Linked DNA regions of Drosophila melanogaster. Changing the gene in region 1 together with any one later gene gives a genetic interaction. Each region holds a gene or a part of one and is shown in the gene's direction. Other genes may lie near its edges.

Region 1 (7,634 bases):
AGCGATGCCTGTGATGAGGAACACCAGCGCCACGATGGCGAACATCACGGCGCGGCTGTTGGCAAAGCGCGAGCCCACCGATGAGACCTTCCTGCAGTGTGGACACCGGGCCAAGGCGTTGTGATACGTGTTGAACTGTAAGAGCAAGCGTTACAAGACTCCTGCTGCTGTGATTTGGATTAATAACTCACCAAAAACGTGTCCGAACAGTGGCCACAAGTGACGCGGCACATGCCCGGCATGGTTGGCACGGGCGGGGTGACGGGACTTGGGGCCAGGTTGATGATCCTCTTGCAATTGGGCCTTGGACAAGCGATTCGCTGCGACGAGCTCTTGCAGATTAACAAACAGTTGCATGGGCAGCGAACATACTTCTTGCCCGCTGGAGCGTTCCGAATGGGCTGTTGATAGCCAAAAGCGTATTAAGTTACAATTGGATTCAAAGAATCTGCTTAGAATTACTCACAGTAGCCTCATTGCAGTGGGTGCACTTGACCACGTGCTGCTCCCGCTTCGTGGTGATGTCAATCATGTGTTGACATACCCGACAGGTGACCATCGGGACGCCTCCGGTGTTGGTACTCTGCTGATACGGCGGCGGCAGCTCATCGGGTCCAATGCAAGGCACTGCGGTCGGTGCTCCATTGCCTAAAATTCCATTGCAAAGTATTATTAACTACTTATAATATTGTTAAGACCCATGCCCTTCAAAGGCGAGACCTTTGGTGTAGAATAAATACATCTCGCCAGCAGAGTTCGCTCAACCACACTGCTCATCTGGCGGTGATTGGCTCATGGAGGGAGTGAGAACTGCATTTTCTGATAGTGTGCAGTGTGTGGCTCTGGGAAGCTGCGATAAACCAAATGGGTCAATGTTTTGGCGTTATGAATGCAGCTTTCTCGTACAAGCATTAAACTAGTGCAACTAGACCGCAGTTGTGGTTCTCGTCTCTCGATCAAAACAAGTTCGAACTTTGTGAAAGACGTTTTTAAATGAAAACAACGCAAAGAGTAACATCGCACACACTCTTTAGGAAAATTGATATGAAGTGGATAAATTGCAAATAAAGTCATATTACTTTGGCTAAATAAATATATAATGTCAAAAAGAAAGGAATACAGAAAGATAACCTATGCAAATTAATTGGGAACATGGAAAGTCGTAAAGCCCTTGTAACTAAACTCTTGTATATATTAATGATATGGACAAGCTTTTTCCGAGCTGAAGATCAGGTTCCTTGGTAAACAATGGAACCACTGCTCATCGCAGACCCTCATTTTCGCCCTGTATTGCGATAAGGCAGCGAATGACATGATGACTCATGGACTCATTGACTGCCCCCGCTTAACCACCACTATAGCAACACCTCCGAATCGATGCTGATTAAACAGCTGTGGGGAACGCTTTTTGCGCTGATTACGAGCGTCCTAGCATAAACAATAACAAAGGCGGTGCAAAAATTTTGCCGATACCGGCGTCGAGTAACTAACTACAATCGATCTTTACATTTTTGGCAGCTCTTCACAATTTCGTGATAAAATTACATTTTTTTTATGGTGTACGTGGCCCATTTGATATTTAGGCCAATAAGAAAATTTTATATTAGGTTGTAAATTTTTGGTAATACCAATAATACTGGGCCCTATTAAAAAATAAAAAAATGGCAGATAATTTAAAATGGCATTTGGGCACCACATATCCTATCAGTTTTTCTTTCTGTGCAGTCCCATTGCTCTCCCCCCGCACCAAACCACACGCATTTATGACTCAGTTGGGTGAAGTGTGAAAATGCCAAATGAGACGGCGAGCAGACAACTCGGAATCACGGCGTTGGATCCGGATAAGTGGAGCGCCCGCACACTTGTTGGGCTTCCAATGGGTTGCCCGCCCGGCTGATTGGATGCGGGTTGAATGCCCGGCTTTACAGTAACGATACGCACCGTCCTCGTTTGTGGCCACCGATGAGTTGCTGCCGGGATTATCGGCACCCTCGTCCACGGCGTCCACGGAATTGTAGCCATTGCCGTCGTCCTTGTTGATCAGGCTTTGTCGCTCTGGATCCGCCATTGTGGACTATCTTCCGATAAATGGATATTTATATGTGTGGACTATAATCTCTATATGCTGGAGCAATTCCCGTTAGGCTGCACTTCCAGTTGCCTTTGTTTTGTTGTTGCTGTTGCTGCGGGGGCTGCTGCAACGCGTTGATTTCAACTGGAAAATGAGTGGGAAATCCAATAGTTTAGTTGCTGTGCCACATAATTTCGGACGCAACGAGCTCTTTGTTCACGATTGCCGCAGTAGTTTGGTTTTTTTTTTCTTCGTTCGTCGCGGTTTTCACTCGCGTTGATTGAAACACATCCTCCCTTTTTTCACTTTTCGGCATGCGCCGCAATTAATCAATTCGATGATGCTGCATGTGCAACGCCCACGCGAGCTCGATTGTCGCACTCACACAGTTGACATTTGGTTATAATACTGGCAATTGCGTTAATTGTTTAACAATTGCTGGCCATAATTGTGCTATATTTTACCTTATTTTTGTTGAAAATGCACTGCAGTCGCTGCGATCTGGCCACACTCTGGCTAGCTATCTGGCAACGATGTCCCGTTTGAGATTTTTCAGTTGCGGCCCTGCCAGGGAGTTGCCACATCGTTGTACTTGGTAAAGAACCAGAAACAGATCAGCGAAAAATTGTTCATTTTTGGAACCAAAACAATCCAGCGCGGCTTAAAACAAATATGTCTAAAATCACGAAAAACTCCAATAAAATTGACAATAAGGATTCTGTAAGCGGGGAAGGCTCAAATAGTGGGGACGATAACACGTCCACAAGTTCAAGTGACTTTGAAACAAGCAGAAAACACAAACTACGCCGCAAATCCTGTCGAAATGTATCATATCATTATCATGCGCTGCCCATGCGCGTAGTTGGCGAAAATGTTGCAGCACTGCCACAAACTCCCAGCTCCACTCGTGATTTAACACTAAGCTCAGCTCAAATAATTGAAGATAGTTCCGACTCTGAGTTTCATATTTCGGACGATACCAGCAACGATGCGCCGGCCAACAAATCGATAACGTTCACAGCACGTCCATTAGAGAAATATGATTTGGAATATATAAGAAAACTACGTAAACGCAAAAAAAAGCCGAGTAAAACTTTATATGTTGATTAAATTTCAAATAACAACTGTTGACCAGGGCTGGAAACGGCAAATGCCCATCTATTGGCCAACACTGGCAACCCAAGCCAGGGTTGGCTTGTGCGTTTTTGGAGTAGTGGTAAATTTTTACGAGCATAACTATTTACACTGATTTTATGTAAATAAAACAAACAAAACGTAGCAAAATTAAGTGCAAAGTGTAAGTAGTAAATGTGGACAGTCGTGCTGTATAAAATTCTAGGTATAAACACTGGAATTCTACGAAAAAATCACCGATGATTTCATTTCCATGCAGTGCGTTGTTGTATGGGAAACTTCGTCGTAGCTATTTGTTGTTGTTGTTGTTGCTGCTGCTCATCACCATCATCCTCGTTGTTTTCGTTGTTGTTGCCGCAGCAGCTGCGTCACAAAAATGAGTTTTGTTTAATTTGATTTTATTTACATTTGATATGGACAAAACCGACTGCCCTTTTAGGGCATCGAACAAGAACAACAGCAACAGTAACTACAAAATTCAGGGCAAACACCTGTTCCTAATTGATTTTTCACTTTTCTTCGCCGACTTCTAGTCTATTCACCACCCCCAACACACAAAACAAAAAAAAAGTAAAACTACGACTTGAACAACAACTGTGTTTTGGCATTTTAATCACAGCAATTAAAAACAAAGCAGCCAAAAAACACGAATAAATAACCCAAACAGTAATAGACCAACCGTAGTACATAGCATTGTTCAGAAATTAAAAGTTAAATCAATTCGAACGAACGAAATTACAAACCCATTTTGACCGCCGATTAGTACACAAAAACCAGAAAAAGGAGTTAGCAGCTAAGGAAAATTTGCAGAAATGGAGTCGCCCCCGATGTTCAATAGTGTGGAAGATGAGTGCAGATATTGGAAGGAACGATCTAAGCAGTACCACAAAGAGTAAGTGCCCATCCCTATTACAGTCTCCGAAATCAGCCATATAGCCTAGTTTTACTTTTAATTTTCAGGTGGACAGACGTGAAACAGGAGTACGACGAGTTTGTGGAGCAGTCCCGCGAAATGGAAATAGAAATGGACGCCACTCTGGACCAGAAGCAGAGTATAATCAAAGATCTCACAGCCAAACTCACAATGTTTGAGCGGGAAAACGAGTCTCTCAAGGTAGCTATAAGCTAAGCCCGATTTACACAAACTGAGCTTAATTCTTAGACTCAGTTTGCGTATATGTGGCTTTGAGCTCCCGACAAGATTAGTCTTTACAACTATTTCATTCTCAGCTCAAGTTGGAATCGCATGGCATCGATATGTCAAACATGGAGAAACAGCTGGAAACGGTGAAGAAGGATCGCGACACCATGAAGGTGTACCTGCGGCAGCTGGAGCAGAAAAACGACGATTTGGAACGTGCCCATCGCATACTTAACGAAAGCATAGAGAATTTCGAGAAGATGCTGGATCAGGCCTACGAGAAGAACGCCCTTCTGGAGCTGGAAGTGGATGAAAAGGGATTGCTGCAGGAAAAACTACAGCGATTAATGGATGAGACGAGAGGTGGATGCATCTATACCAGATGTCCAGCACAGACTTTAAAACTAATTCATCAAATCTATTGCAGATCTCAAACAAGAGCTGAACGTCAAGTCACGCTTTACCCCAGTGGTCAATGGAACGAGCGTTCCCACGGCAAACGACACAAATACGGTCAACAGCTCGATGAACTCGTCCGCCTCGCTGCCAAATGGTATTGTTGCCAATGGCGAATTGGTAAAACACGACAATGCTGTCGCCACAAGAGCCACCAGCGTCAGCGTCAACGCCCTCAATGGCAGTTTAGTTAATAGAAACGAATATAACCAGCAGCATTCGCTTAAGAGTAAGATACTAAGTTCCCTAAAGAAAACCAGACGCGCGCTAAAACTGTCCAAGACGAATCGCCAAACGTTCAAGCCATGCATTTAGTATTGTTTTTCCATTTGTTTCTTTTTTACTTGTTAACCAAAAAATGTAGCCCGCTTAAGTTCCTCATAATTTGTAATTGTATTGTAAATTATTAAAATTAAGAGCCCAAATGTGACGAAAGAGTTTGCAACATTTCTTGTAGGCGATTTTTGTACGATTTGTGTTTGCGTCTGTAGCTAGTAGTTGACCTAACTAACCTCTCGACTAACATGCTGTGTACGTGTGCTTCCTCTTGCAGATCCCGAGAATCAAATCAATGGCAATTCCATGAACCCCAGCTCCCGCACAACGGCGCTCAACATTGTGGCCGACATGTTAAGAAAACTAAACGTAAGTCCCTCCGCAAACTATAAGTCCAGCATGCCATCCTACCTCATCCATTGTTTCGTATGTACATATGATCCTTGAACCCTTCACTCCCACCATCGGCTTATGTGTTTTTCCCTATGTTTTTAGTGGGACAAGGCACTGCTATGTCCCGAGTGCGAAAAGTTTCGCTGCATGTGTGAGCGCCCGGCAAGTGTGCAGCCGCCGCCGCCGCCATCGGCCAGCGAGGCAAGTCTTTTTCGCCGCGCCTTTGGCGGCAGCAGCAGCTCAGTGGCCACCAGTAGCGCCCAGTCCACGCCCACCAGCGATTGCAGCTCCGCCGGAAGCCTCAGTGCGGGCTCAAACATTTTTAGGCGCTTCGCCGAGCGCATGCGAAACTCGCCGGACGCCAGCCTGCCGCTCTGACAATGCGCTCGGAACTTTAAGGCTAATTTTAGTTGCCCTCCGCTTGCATTTATTAATTGCATTGGTTAATAAATACAAAATTTATTTGTACCTTATTTTATGTTCTTTGTTTTTGTTCGTTATGATTTATTCAGTTTCGAAAGCGCATAATAACTTGGCTTGCTGACTAAACTCTGCACTGGGCAAACCGTTGCGAAATGAAATTTTCATTAATTTATTTATTATATGATGTGCCCAAATCCTTCTATAGTTAATTTTTCATATAGTTCACTGACTGTTGCTTAATCCGCTCTCGTTTTGTGTTTTTTTTTTAGGCGATGGAGACGAAACTGAAGACGTACCGCGAGAATGGTCAGCCAATGCCGCAGCGACACCGCTCCTCCCAGCAATCCACACATCCGGCGCTGGCCGGACTGCCTTGCTTCTCGCTGGATGCCGAGTAGTGTGGATTCTGCAGTTCAGCGTGATCCACAAACCCCAAATCCGAAACCCAATCACCTAGGGCGGGATACTGTTCAGTTGGCTTTACGTTTACGTTACGTTACTTTAATGTTACTGTTCGCATTAATTAAGTTTCTGCTGCCTCTTTATTTATTTGAACTAAAATGACTTTGTATAAACCACTTGCGATATTATGAATTACACAACAGTTGATGTTGTTGTTTCGAGCCCAACATATATAACATGCCTTAGTACGAATTAAGTGTATACCTAAGCTATAAGTACCCACTCGGTTCACTTTTGACTTGAATTGTTAACTCGAACGCAATTGTTTTGGCATACAATGTGTTTAGCGACTAAGTTCAAAGTTGATCAACCAGCAAAACAAGCGAAGAAGCTCTGTCCAAGTATTATACTTCAAGCGGACAACCAATACTCGTAGCGTTTAGGAAAAAGACAAGATCTAACCCGGGAAAAAAAATTATTAAAATTATCGAAACGATCATCTAGTTATATTGTAACTATCCCCAGAGCTATTTTCTGTTTATATTTACCAGCGAATATAAATTTGTAAAAATGCAAAATATTGCTAACGGCAAACTGTATAAAGCATAACAAAACTCCAACGAACAGGCAAACAAAATATATATATATATGTATGAATAAAGAGCAAAATAATTAGTTTAATAGAAACCATCCACAAGCACATCAATGTCGATGCCGTGTGTGTTGCAACTAATTAGTTTTAAATAATATTTGAGTTCATTACACAAGTTGAATGCTGCGTCAATTCCTATGCCAAGGCCGAATTTTCATATCGAGAGCTTTTCGCAGGGGAAACTTTCCCCGTTTTAGACCCATTTCATTGCGGATTTTCCCGGAGCTTTAGCCCCAACCAAAAGGATGCTGAGCTCACTGAGTTTGTGGATGGAGTCGGCTGGTGGACGCACAGTGCTCCATGGTGGGCAAAGTAAACTGGATCTGATGCCGACCTTGCTGGCGAGAAGGTCCCGTTGGCGGTAAGCTAATGAAAGTACTTTGGTTTTTATAAGTAAGCACCGGGTGGGTTAGCGTCGTCGAGTGCTTGGCATTAAGCGAGCCATGCTAGCTGGTTGGCTGGAGAACTAACTCCTTTCCAGATGCCAAATCCGCCACAGCAAATGCAGCGAGGGAAAAGTGAAGTGAAAAATGAAAATATGACACAAGCTTTTATCATACGCATAGCACTTACCAGGGCAAAAAGGGATGGACTTTCCTGGACCTGCCTGGTGTTGCTGTTGCTCTTGTTTGCTGCTGAGTGCATTGTTTGCTCCCGTGGGCGGTATGGGCGGTCTAGGTGGTTGT
Region 2 (9,061 bases), on another chromosome or scaffold:
ACAAATACCACACGTAAGTGGAAAATGTAAAAAAATAAACGAAATGGTCGAGATACCAAAAAAAAAAAATAAAAAGGGGGTTATCTCAATGTCGTGGCTTACACCCAAAGCCTTTTAATGCGGCGGAAATTCATGAGAATGAAGTTGGAAACTCCAGCAATGTCATGTCGCAATATTCTCTGAATTTTTTGTTGGATTTTTTGGATCCCTAGAATCTTATCAAGCCACTTCACAGGCTGGAGAAGTGGCCAGCAGATATAGATACAGATAGTAATCTGGCTTGTTGGACAACCCAATAATAATCGAACAAAATTAACGACAGATTCGCTAAAATCGCAGAGAATCGCCGACGACGATCCTCGAATTCGAATCGCGGCTCTGTTTGCAATCCCATCACGCAGTCGCAAATGGAATGGGTATAGCAATAGATATATAGATATAGATATATAGACTATATTGCCGATATGCTGAGTGCGTCATCGAAGAGCTTGCTAATCGAAAGAATTCCGTACCCTCAAATTGGCAGCACTAATTACTAATTTCAGTTGTCGCTGCCGGCAACGGAAGCAAGCGAAGAAGACAGCTCTTCTTTGGAGCAAATAAAAAAAATGACACTTTCCGATCATTATTAATGGGTTTGGTTATCAGAAAGTGTGGCAATGGAACGTTGACAATTTGCCAATGTCTGTGCCCGATTGTTTAAACAAATCGCAGCGCGCCGAGGTTTTCCAAAACACCAAGTAAGCCAATAATAACAATTTAACGTTTACAAACGAACAAGCGGCCTTTATCATCGGCATATAATCATCAGAGTTGTCGGTCTGATAACAGCCATACGGTGCTGGCTCATAAATGGCTTTCGATTTCGCCAGTTAAACGCTAATGTGGCCAAGAGGATCGGCTACCGCAGGATTAGCAAGCATTGCTAAACTGAATCATATTTAACATATATCTATAGAGCCATAGAATTGGCTGATATAGCGGCTATATCGATATAATGTAATGCGTACAAAATGGCTGATTAAATCTCAAACACTGATAACACACAACGAGTGCCCAAATTTGGCAAATGATTTACATTATTCGGCAATTTTCCCAATGAGCGATTGAGATTGTGTACGATACGCTGCACTCACAGGTGACAGATGGTTGCTAATTGTTGTTGCTGTTTCGCGAATATTTGGGCGCACCAACTATGAATAACGAATGTGTGTGTGTCGCCCGAAAATCAGTAAACTAATAACCGTTTCCGCTGAGCGATTCTCGAATACTGAGCGCCAAAGGGAGCACTCCATAAATCGGTTGTGTTGTGTTCTGGCGCTGTGTGAGCGGTGATAAGGAAAGTTTACTCCCATCGCGAATGTGTGTGTAAGATAACAACAAAGTCGGTTTACAATTAGCAAACTGCAGTGTTGACTATCGAATTGGGATGTGTTATAAATAAATAGCAATACTTATATGGCATAAATAATTGGAAACCCATTTTGTTCACTCACGGATAGGCGTTGTGGTTCCGCAAAAAAAAAGCTGACGAAGGTCCATTTCCTTATCAGCATTTTAAATAGCGCGCCAATTTTTTAAGCTGTTCACACTGCGCTTGCATGGAAGTAGGGCTTAAGTTATGGCAACTCGTTCTTTACTCAATGGTTTCAGTCCTTAGGTCTTATATAAGATATAAAAAGTATTTAGAAGTTATTATACATATTTTTATTAACATTTTTCTACATTCCTAGTCACATCGATAGCTAATCGCTGTCATCGATAGTCCCGTGATGTTTTTTGAGCTGCTTCCACTGCGGTCACACTAATCGAAGCATTTTCGTCCGCTCGTCACTTTTCTGCGTAATTCTTTTCGTATATTTCGATTAAACATAAATAAATAAGCGTAATTATAAATATATGAAATACTAAATTGTTGTAAGTAACGTTCGCTGCATAATAAGAACAAACACCGAGTCGCCGCGTTGTAAATAGAACACCCAAGCAAAATGGATTTTTCGCAACCAACCCGTGTAATGGGCTATTGGGAGAAATGAAGAAAAAAAAACGTCATATGTACAAAACTGCCAATGGCAAAGTGTTAGTTCGCGCATTATGTACCAAGCATGTCGGTTGGAGTCGGAAAATATAATATACTATATGTGCGCTTGGATATTTGTCCTTTTTCCCCATTATGCATATTGCCTTTGGGACATTTCTTTCTCTTGGCCCCCTCTCTCTATCCAAGATGGCCGTCGTAACAGTATTTTCGTTCAAACTGTTGTTGTTATTGTGTTTGTTATTGAAAAGAGAATGAAAAAACAAGCGAAAGAGTTATGCAAATTATGCACAAAAAAAGTAGTGTGTTGAACAAAAAGACGATCAGTAAATAAGTGGAGAAACGAACTATGATTACATTTTATTTACAACCACCAGAAAGCGATGACACATCGAGTGCGTTGGTGTGCGTGCGCGAGTGTGTGTGTGTGTGCGAGTGACGATGTCTGTGGATTTTCGCGCATGTTTGGAGTCCTCCCCCTCGCCAAAAGTAGAATTGATCGATTTTTAGCCAAGTCGAGTCCCCGAACTGGCCGATTCCTTGCATATATGTACTTCCCGTTCCCCCATAGGCCAACAACACCTATTACTGGGCAAACCAGTTCTGCCAATGCACAAGAAATCTCGTTTTATTTTCTTCGTTGTGCTTGTGTAGTTGTTTTTGTTTTTTTTTTACAGTTTTCCGTTTTGGGCTTTTTTGCTGCGGCATTCTTTTAGATATTCAAGACCCGTTGCGATTTCCCAGAATGTGTGGAAAGCGCTCCTGACACTGCAAATTGTTTCTATTATCTAGTGACGAGCTTTTTGCACGTTTCCAGCAGTGGGTTAAAGAAAGGCAAAGCAAAAAGTCTCGGCACTTAACGGTTAGTCCCTGCATTCGATGCCCGTCGTGGGGTTAAAGCTGGAGTTCAAAGCTTTTTTGGCTATTGTTTTCCTTTTTCCTCTCTCTTTTTGCACTTGAAATTGCAATTGCATTTGCTCGCCGGCGCGTGTGTGAGTGTGTGCTAATCAATGAAACACGCAAATAAACAAGCAAAGGCAAGTGCAAGGTCTGTTTGCCAGAGCGGGAGAGAGAGAATAAGCAAGCGAATTCAAACGAAAGGGGGAGTGAGAGGAAGAGAAAGATCCTTAAAATTCAAGACCTTACTGTGTGTGTGTGTGTGTTCGTTGCAGCCCTGGTCTATGCCCCTTGCCAACTATCTCGCTCTCACGCCCACCCAAAACCATTTAAAATTCAAATATTAAATTAACTTGAGCAAGTGCAACAATGAGAATCCCATATGATTTTTACTGATTTAGTAACATTTCTGGTGTGGCGTGCGACCCAAACGCCCCCTTCCCATTGTTTTCATTCCCCCATATGGCACACACCCACAGCTTTACGGTTACAATGCGCATGGCTTTGTGTTTCGGAATGCCTGGTTGCCACAACACAAACAGTGTTGACTTCGTTCGATGGTTTAAGGGACCCCCCACTATCTTAACCCCACTTTGCTGCCCACGCTCCACTTTTCCATTAATACCCGTGACGCTCGCAACGCTTTTCATCGATTTTCCTGGGATATATTTAGATGCGCAGTTAGAGCGCAGCCAAACATCCACCCACAATATTCAAATGATGAGCGCCAAGTGCTCGAATACAGCTGATAAGCCCTATAGGAGTAGTTCAAGTCGCGTCCAGCCGAATGACTCACGGCTATATTGAGTGGCCGTTTCGAATCGGATTCGGCTGTGAACCCGTTTGGTCAGTTTTTGCTTGTCTTTTTTTTTTGCCATATTTGCTAGTTCAAAAAAATCGTTAAATATCATTTGGCCAAAAATAATTTGGAAACGTCATTTCCTAGACCGTGATGTGTGAGCGTGTCTCTCACAGGTGGGGCCATGAAATTAGTAATGAATTCGAGATATTTAGGTCTTGTTTATGTTTTCATAACACCTATTAATTTAATGATCATATAGCCAATAACTATTTAGCACAAATAAAAGAAACAGCTGAATTAGTTTTTATGCTATCAATTGCACCTCTGGTGCCCGTGTTTGTTCTGCTTCTTCGCTCGCACGCTCTTTCGCAGCCTTATTTACCTATAAGAAGTTGCTTGAACTACCGTTAAGTCTGGCTAATTGGCTTTGCCTTGTCGTGGATTTTCCTTCGCTAGTATATTCGTTGGCAACGCGTCAGTTGTCCATCGTTATCAAGTACGCGAGATATGCGTTAGCTATTTGTTTCCGATTGCTGTTGTTATATTGCGTGCTATACCCATGATTTGGCCACCTTGAGTTGATTAAAAAGGTTTTGCAGTCAAAAAAACATGGGCACTAAACAAACAAATAGCGCACCCATATGATTTCTGCCTAATTCCATGTGAAATCGACCCTTGAACTCACCGATGACGAGTGCAGTTCGATTGCAGGGGTTACCAAATGCTGCTGCTGCTTCGCTTCAAGCATTGCCAAAGTTTCGATTATTATTTTTTTTTTGCCCACTTATTCGAGGCACGGGCAACACAAAAATGTGTGCCAGAAACCAAAGACACGATGATAATGATGATGCTCCGCTTTGGGAGAATGAAACAATATAATGACTAGACGAAAGGTGAGCATAGGAAACAGAAATACTGCTGCCAAAAAAATTCAAGAAAATGTGGGTGACTCGCCTGCCCTCCATGAGAACTCAAACGAAACTTGCTGGCATTTTTGGCATTTAGGTTTTGCGAAACCAATTTCCTGTCCCAGGTACATCAAATCATCATATGATTATACAGTAGAAGTTCGATAGATGAACCAAAAATTATACATAACTCTGTCTAACGAAATGGTTTGCAAGATATGTATATAGGAAATATATCTTGTATCTGACTGTGGTAAGAACTGCTGTACACATATTGAATGTCTACCTTTTCCATTGCAGAATTGCAAGAGTTGAAGGCGGATAACCGAATTGCGAACGAGAGAAGCAAAACAAGCCAAATCGGAAAACAGTATGAAAATGGTGTTGTCGCAGCGGCAGCGCGAGGAGCTGTAAGTCCCAGTCGTCTTATATAACTATTACCCCATGAACTAATCCTTTTAATTGTATCGCCATCAGTAACCAAGCGATTGCCGATTATCTGGGCTCAAATGGCTACGCCGACTCATTGGAGACCTTCCGCAAGGAGGCCGATCTCAGCACAGAAGTGGAAAAGAAATTTGGCGGACTGTTGGAAAAGAAGTGGACGTCCGTGATTCGGCTGCAGAAGAAAGTGATGGAACTAGAGGCTAAGCTCACTGAAGCTGAGAAGGAGGTCATCGAGGGGGCGCCCACAAAGAACAAACGGACGCCTGGCGAGTGGATACCTCGGCCGCCAGAGAAGTTCTCCCTGACCGGTCATCGTGCCAGCATAACGAGGGTAAGTTGAGAAGTTAACAAATTAATAAACATTTTACATTTACATTTTATAATTGCAGGTAATTTTCCACCCCATCTTTGCTCTTATGGTTTCCGCATCCGAAGACGCCACCATTAGGATTTGGGACTTCGAAACTGGCGAGTACGAACGCAGCCTGAAGGGACACACGGACTCTGTGCAGGATGTCGCATTTGATGCCCAGGGCAAGCTTTTGGGTAAGATCTTGCCATAGTTGAATATATAGTAAAACCAATTTAATTTTGCTTTAATTGCAACAGCCTCCTGCAGCGCGGACTTATCCATCAAATTGTGGGATTTCCAGCAGAGCTACGAGTGTATCAAAACTATGCATGGTCACGATCACAATGTCTCGTCGGTGGCCTTTGTGCCGGCCGGAGATTATGTACTCTCTGCATCCCGGGACCGCACTATTAAAATGTGGGAGGTGGCCACAGGGTGAGTTAAAGAAAAAGGACATTTCGTTTAAGGGATAATATGACCAACATGTGACTTCTCATCCTCAGCTACTGTGTGAAAACCTACACAGGCCATCGAGAGTGGGTGCGAATGGTGCGAGTGCACATCGAAGGCAGCATCTTTGCCACATGCTCAAATGATCAGACAATACGTGTTTGGTTGACGAATTCAAAAGACTGCAAGGTGAGCATTGCCATGTGCAGCTTCTGCTGGCAATGAAGAGTCTAACGACGGTTTGATTCTTCTGCAGGTTGAATTACGCGATCATGAGCATACTGTGGAGTGCATTGCCTGGGCGCCGGAAGCCGCAGCCTCTGCGATAAACGAGGCAGCCGGAGCAGACAACAAGAAGGGCCATCACCAGGGCCCGTTCCTGGCCTCCGGCTCTCGCGACAAAACCATTCGCATTTGGGACGTGAGCGTCGGCCTGTGCCTGCTTACCCTGAGTGGCCATGACAATTGGGTGCGTGGCCTGGCATTCCATCCTGGTGGCAAATACTTGGTGTCGGCCAGCGATGACAAGACCATTCGGGTGTGGGACTTGCGCAACAAGCGATGCATGAAGACGCTATACGCGCATCAGCATTTCTGCACCTCCATAGGTGGGTCCACACAAGGCATTGTGTGTATGAACTATATATTTTAATTGTCATCCGTTTTCTTGCAGATTTTCACAAAGCGCATCCGTACGTAATTAGCGGTAGCGTAGATCAAACAGTAAAGGTCTGGGAATGTCGTTAAATTAAGGAAGAATCGGCAAGGGTTCTGCTTACTTCTCAATTTAAACATAAATAAAGCTAATATATTAAATCACATACCCACACAACACGCCCATACACGAGCAGTCTCGGCCACCTCCGCGGAAGTTTATTTTCCAGACGCTTTCTGTGTCAGCGTAAAATGAACATATTGTATTTTAAAACTGAATGAAACTGGCGAAAACGAATTATTTATTTAATTGTACGACCTTCTAACTAAACTAACTACCTACCTACTATACAAAGTACATAAACAAAATGCCCAAAAAATACATACATACGATTATCGTTTAAAGTTAATGCCGCCCTCCTTTATAAACCAGCATTGGCTCGCTAAGCAAACGGGCATCCTAACTTGAATTTGTCGTAGAATTCGATGAGAATGGAACGTATTTACAATGGTAAACTGTATTTCATTCGACGGCTAATACCATGTGTACCATGTGGCGCAGAAATGTTTTTCCATCCACAAATGTACCCGAGCACTCGCACTCACTTGAAAAAAATTCAATGACGTTGATGTGTTTTAGTGTTTGCAAAATGTATGCATAATAATAGCTAAATTCACTGGAAAATTTATATAAGCAAGGAAGTATTTCAACATCTAAGAAAACTTGTACTCACAAAGAGAAGTTTGTTAATGAGAATTACTTGGAGAGGAGTGCAACATGCTTTTTATCATAATTGAGGTAGTTTTAACGATAACAGTTTGCTTCTTTTAACCATATTCACTTTACACAATTCCTGTTTTGTGTTCTTTTTCGCGAAAGGATCTTCAACAAAAACAAATACCTTTCAAAATGCTTACAAATTTAAGTTGGCTTTAAGTTCAAAATATAATTTACTTTTACGGTTTACATAGTAGAAAAATGCTGCAAATTTATTTGTAATTGTTTATTTAAGAGCAACGGCAAAAAATATACCTATATATAAATATACTATAAATAATTATTTGTGCAAAACCGAGAAATCATATAGATGTATCTGAGAAAACAAAAACAAAACGCAGAAAAATCCAACAATTAGAAGAAACGATTTTTCGGATTCAAAGAAATCTAATTATTGAAAACAATAAAAACTTGCTTCTTCAAGAAACCAGAAAAAAATATGTTTATACCCAGAACTAAAAATGGTGGATTTCTGTCAAGGGTATAATTAATGTATTGCCTGCGATGTCAAATTTTGAAAGCATTTATTATACTCAAAAATGCAACATTTGATGCACCTTATAAATGTAAGACAACAAAAAACAAAATGCGCACTAAAGCCACGACAACTCAATGCATAATTCGCAAAACGCTTTCTTCTCAACCAAGCTGCTTTAGAAAGATGGCCTCAGATGAAAACCCCTAGATACTGGCGATGTATAGAAATCGCTTAATATATATATATTACAAAAGTACTATAAATAAAACCGCACTGTGTTTTATTACTCTAAACGGTTTATTGATAGGAATAGAACAGGAGGTACTAAGGCACAGGCTTGTCTTGTTCTTGATCCACATTTTGGGATTCCTTTGTAGCTTCGGTGCTATCTAATTCCACTGCATTTGTGTCCTCTGCGCTTTTCGCTTCTGTATTTGAATTCACTGCCTCTTCATTCGAAGTTTCTTGGGTGTTATTGTCGTCGGATTCCTTGGATGCCACCTGTTGTCCTTCCTCAGGGCTACTTTCTGCCTTTTCTTCTGTGGGCTCTTCCTCGGAATCTGTGTTACTATCCTCTGAGGCTTCCTTAGCCAGTGGCTTCTTGTCCTCTCTCGGCTTTTTCGCCCTCTGTTTTCTCTTCAACCGTTTGGCTCGTTTCTTAGCAGTCTTTTCTTCGGCCGCGCGTCTGTTGTCGTCCAACTTCTGCTGGTAAGCTTCATCTGCTGCTTCGCGGGCACTCTGGTTCTGGATGTTCTTCTGGCGGGCGTACTCCTTGCGTCGCAAGTGGCGGTACACATGGAACTCGCCGGAACCCGCTCCAGCACTGCTTCCCATCACATTCCGCACGAACGTGGGCACCGAGGACATGAAGTCCCGTTCGCGACGCTGCTCCGGTATGACCACGGGCTTATCCTGGCAATAAAAGGTTTATTAATATGAATGTCCACCCAGCTTTCCAATGCAAACACATACCGGATTCTTCATGAGCTTCTCCAGCTTCAGCCTCTGTAGATCTGTCGCGGTTTTGATGAACGGCCGCAGAGGCTTGTCCTTCTCATCGGAATCGCTTTCTCCAGATCCCGCATTCTTTTTCTTTTTCTTTGCCTTCTGTTCGGGCTCTTTTACCAAATTCTTTATAAGCGACATGTTTGTTTGGTTAAAAACAGTATTTTATGTGTGGCTGTATTACAAGTCGTAAAAAATACACACCGAATTAAAAAAAAAACTTAACGGGGACTATGCTTGATCTGTAAAATT

The links. Genes that interact genetically often act in the same process or in processes that back each other up.
Region 2: of nudE (region 1) and Lis-1, changing one suppresses a phenotype caused by changing the other (phenotypic suppression), as found in Drosophila melanogaster (one study listed by BioGRID).

The regions. Positions count from the first base shown.
Region 1 is NT_037436.4:9,895,988-9,903,621, forward strand, and holds nudE (nudE), read left to right. Parts: upstream 1-3,253; 5' UTR 3,254-3,368; exon of another isoform or gene 3,369-3,400; intron 3,401-3,738; 5' UTR 3,739-4,017; coding exon 4,018-4,097; intron 4,098-4,165; coding exon 4,166-4,319; intron 4,320-4,435; coding exon 4,436-4,709; intron 4,710-4,773; coding exon 4,774-5,031; coding exon of another isoform or gene 5,032-5,117; exon of another isoform or gene 5,118-5,210; intron 5,211-5,355; coding exon 5,356-5,447; intron 5,448-5,573; coding exon 5,574-5,849; 3' UTR 5,850-5,925; downstream 5,926-7,634. Other genes in the region: CG6707 (uncharacterized protein), read right to left, coding at 1-135, 192-401, 467-648, 1,942-2,068; CG46387 (uncharacterized protein), read left to right, coding at 2,744-3,181. UniProt on the Drosophila melanogaster protein: Chaperone protein with functions in nuclear localization. Required for centrosome duplication and formation and function of the mitotic spindle.
Region 2 is NT_033778.4:16,177,036-16,186,096, forward strand, and holds Lis-1 (Lissencephaly-1), read left to right. Parts: upstream 1-1,790; 5' UTR 1,791-1,917; intron 1,918-2,297; exon of another isoform or gene 2,298-2,337; intron 2,338-4,213; exon of another isoform or gene 4,214-4,770; intron 4,771-4,945; 5' UTR 4,946-5,017; coding exon 5,018-5,055; intron 5,056-5,122; coding exon 5,123-5,423; intron 5,424-5,481; coding exon 5,482-5,638; intron 5,639-5,701; coding exon 5,702-5,879; intron 5,880-5,947; coding exon 5,948-6,083; intron 6,084-6,150; coding exon 6,151-6,502; intron 6,503-6,567; coding exon 6,568-6,641; 3' UTR 6,642-8,068; downstream 8,069-9,061. Other genes in the region: CG8441 (uncharacterized protein), read right to left, coding at 8,129-8,716, 8,777-8,950. UniProt on the Drosophila melanogaster protein: Positively regulates the activity of the minus-end directed microtubule motor protein dynein. May enhance dynein-mediated microtubule sliding by targeting dynein to the microtubule plus end.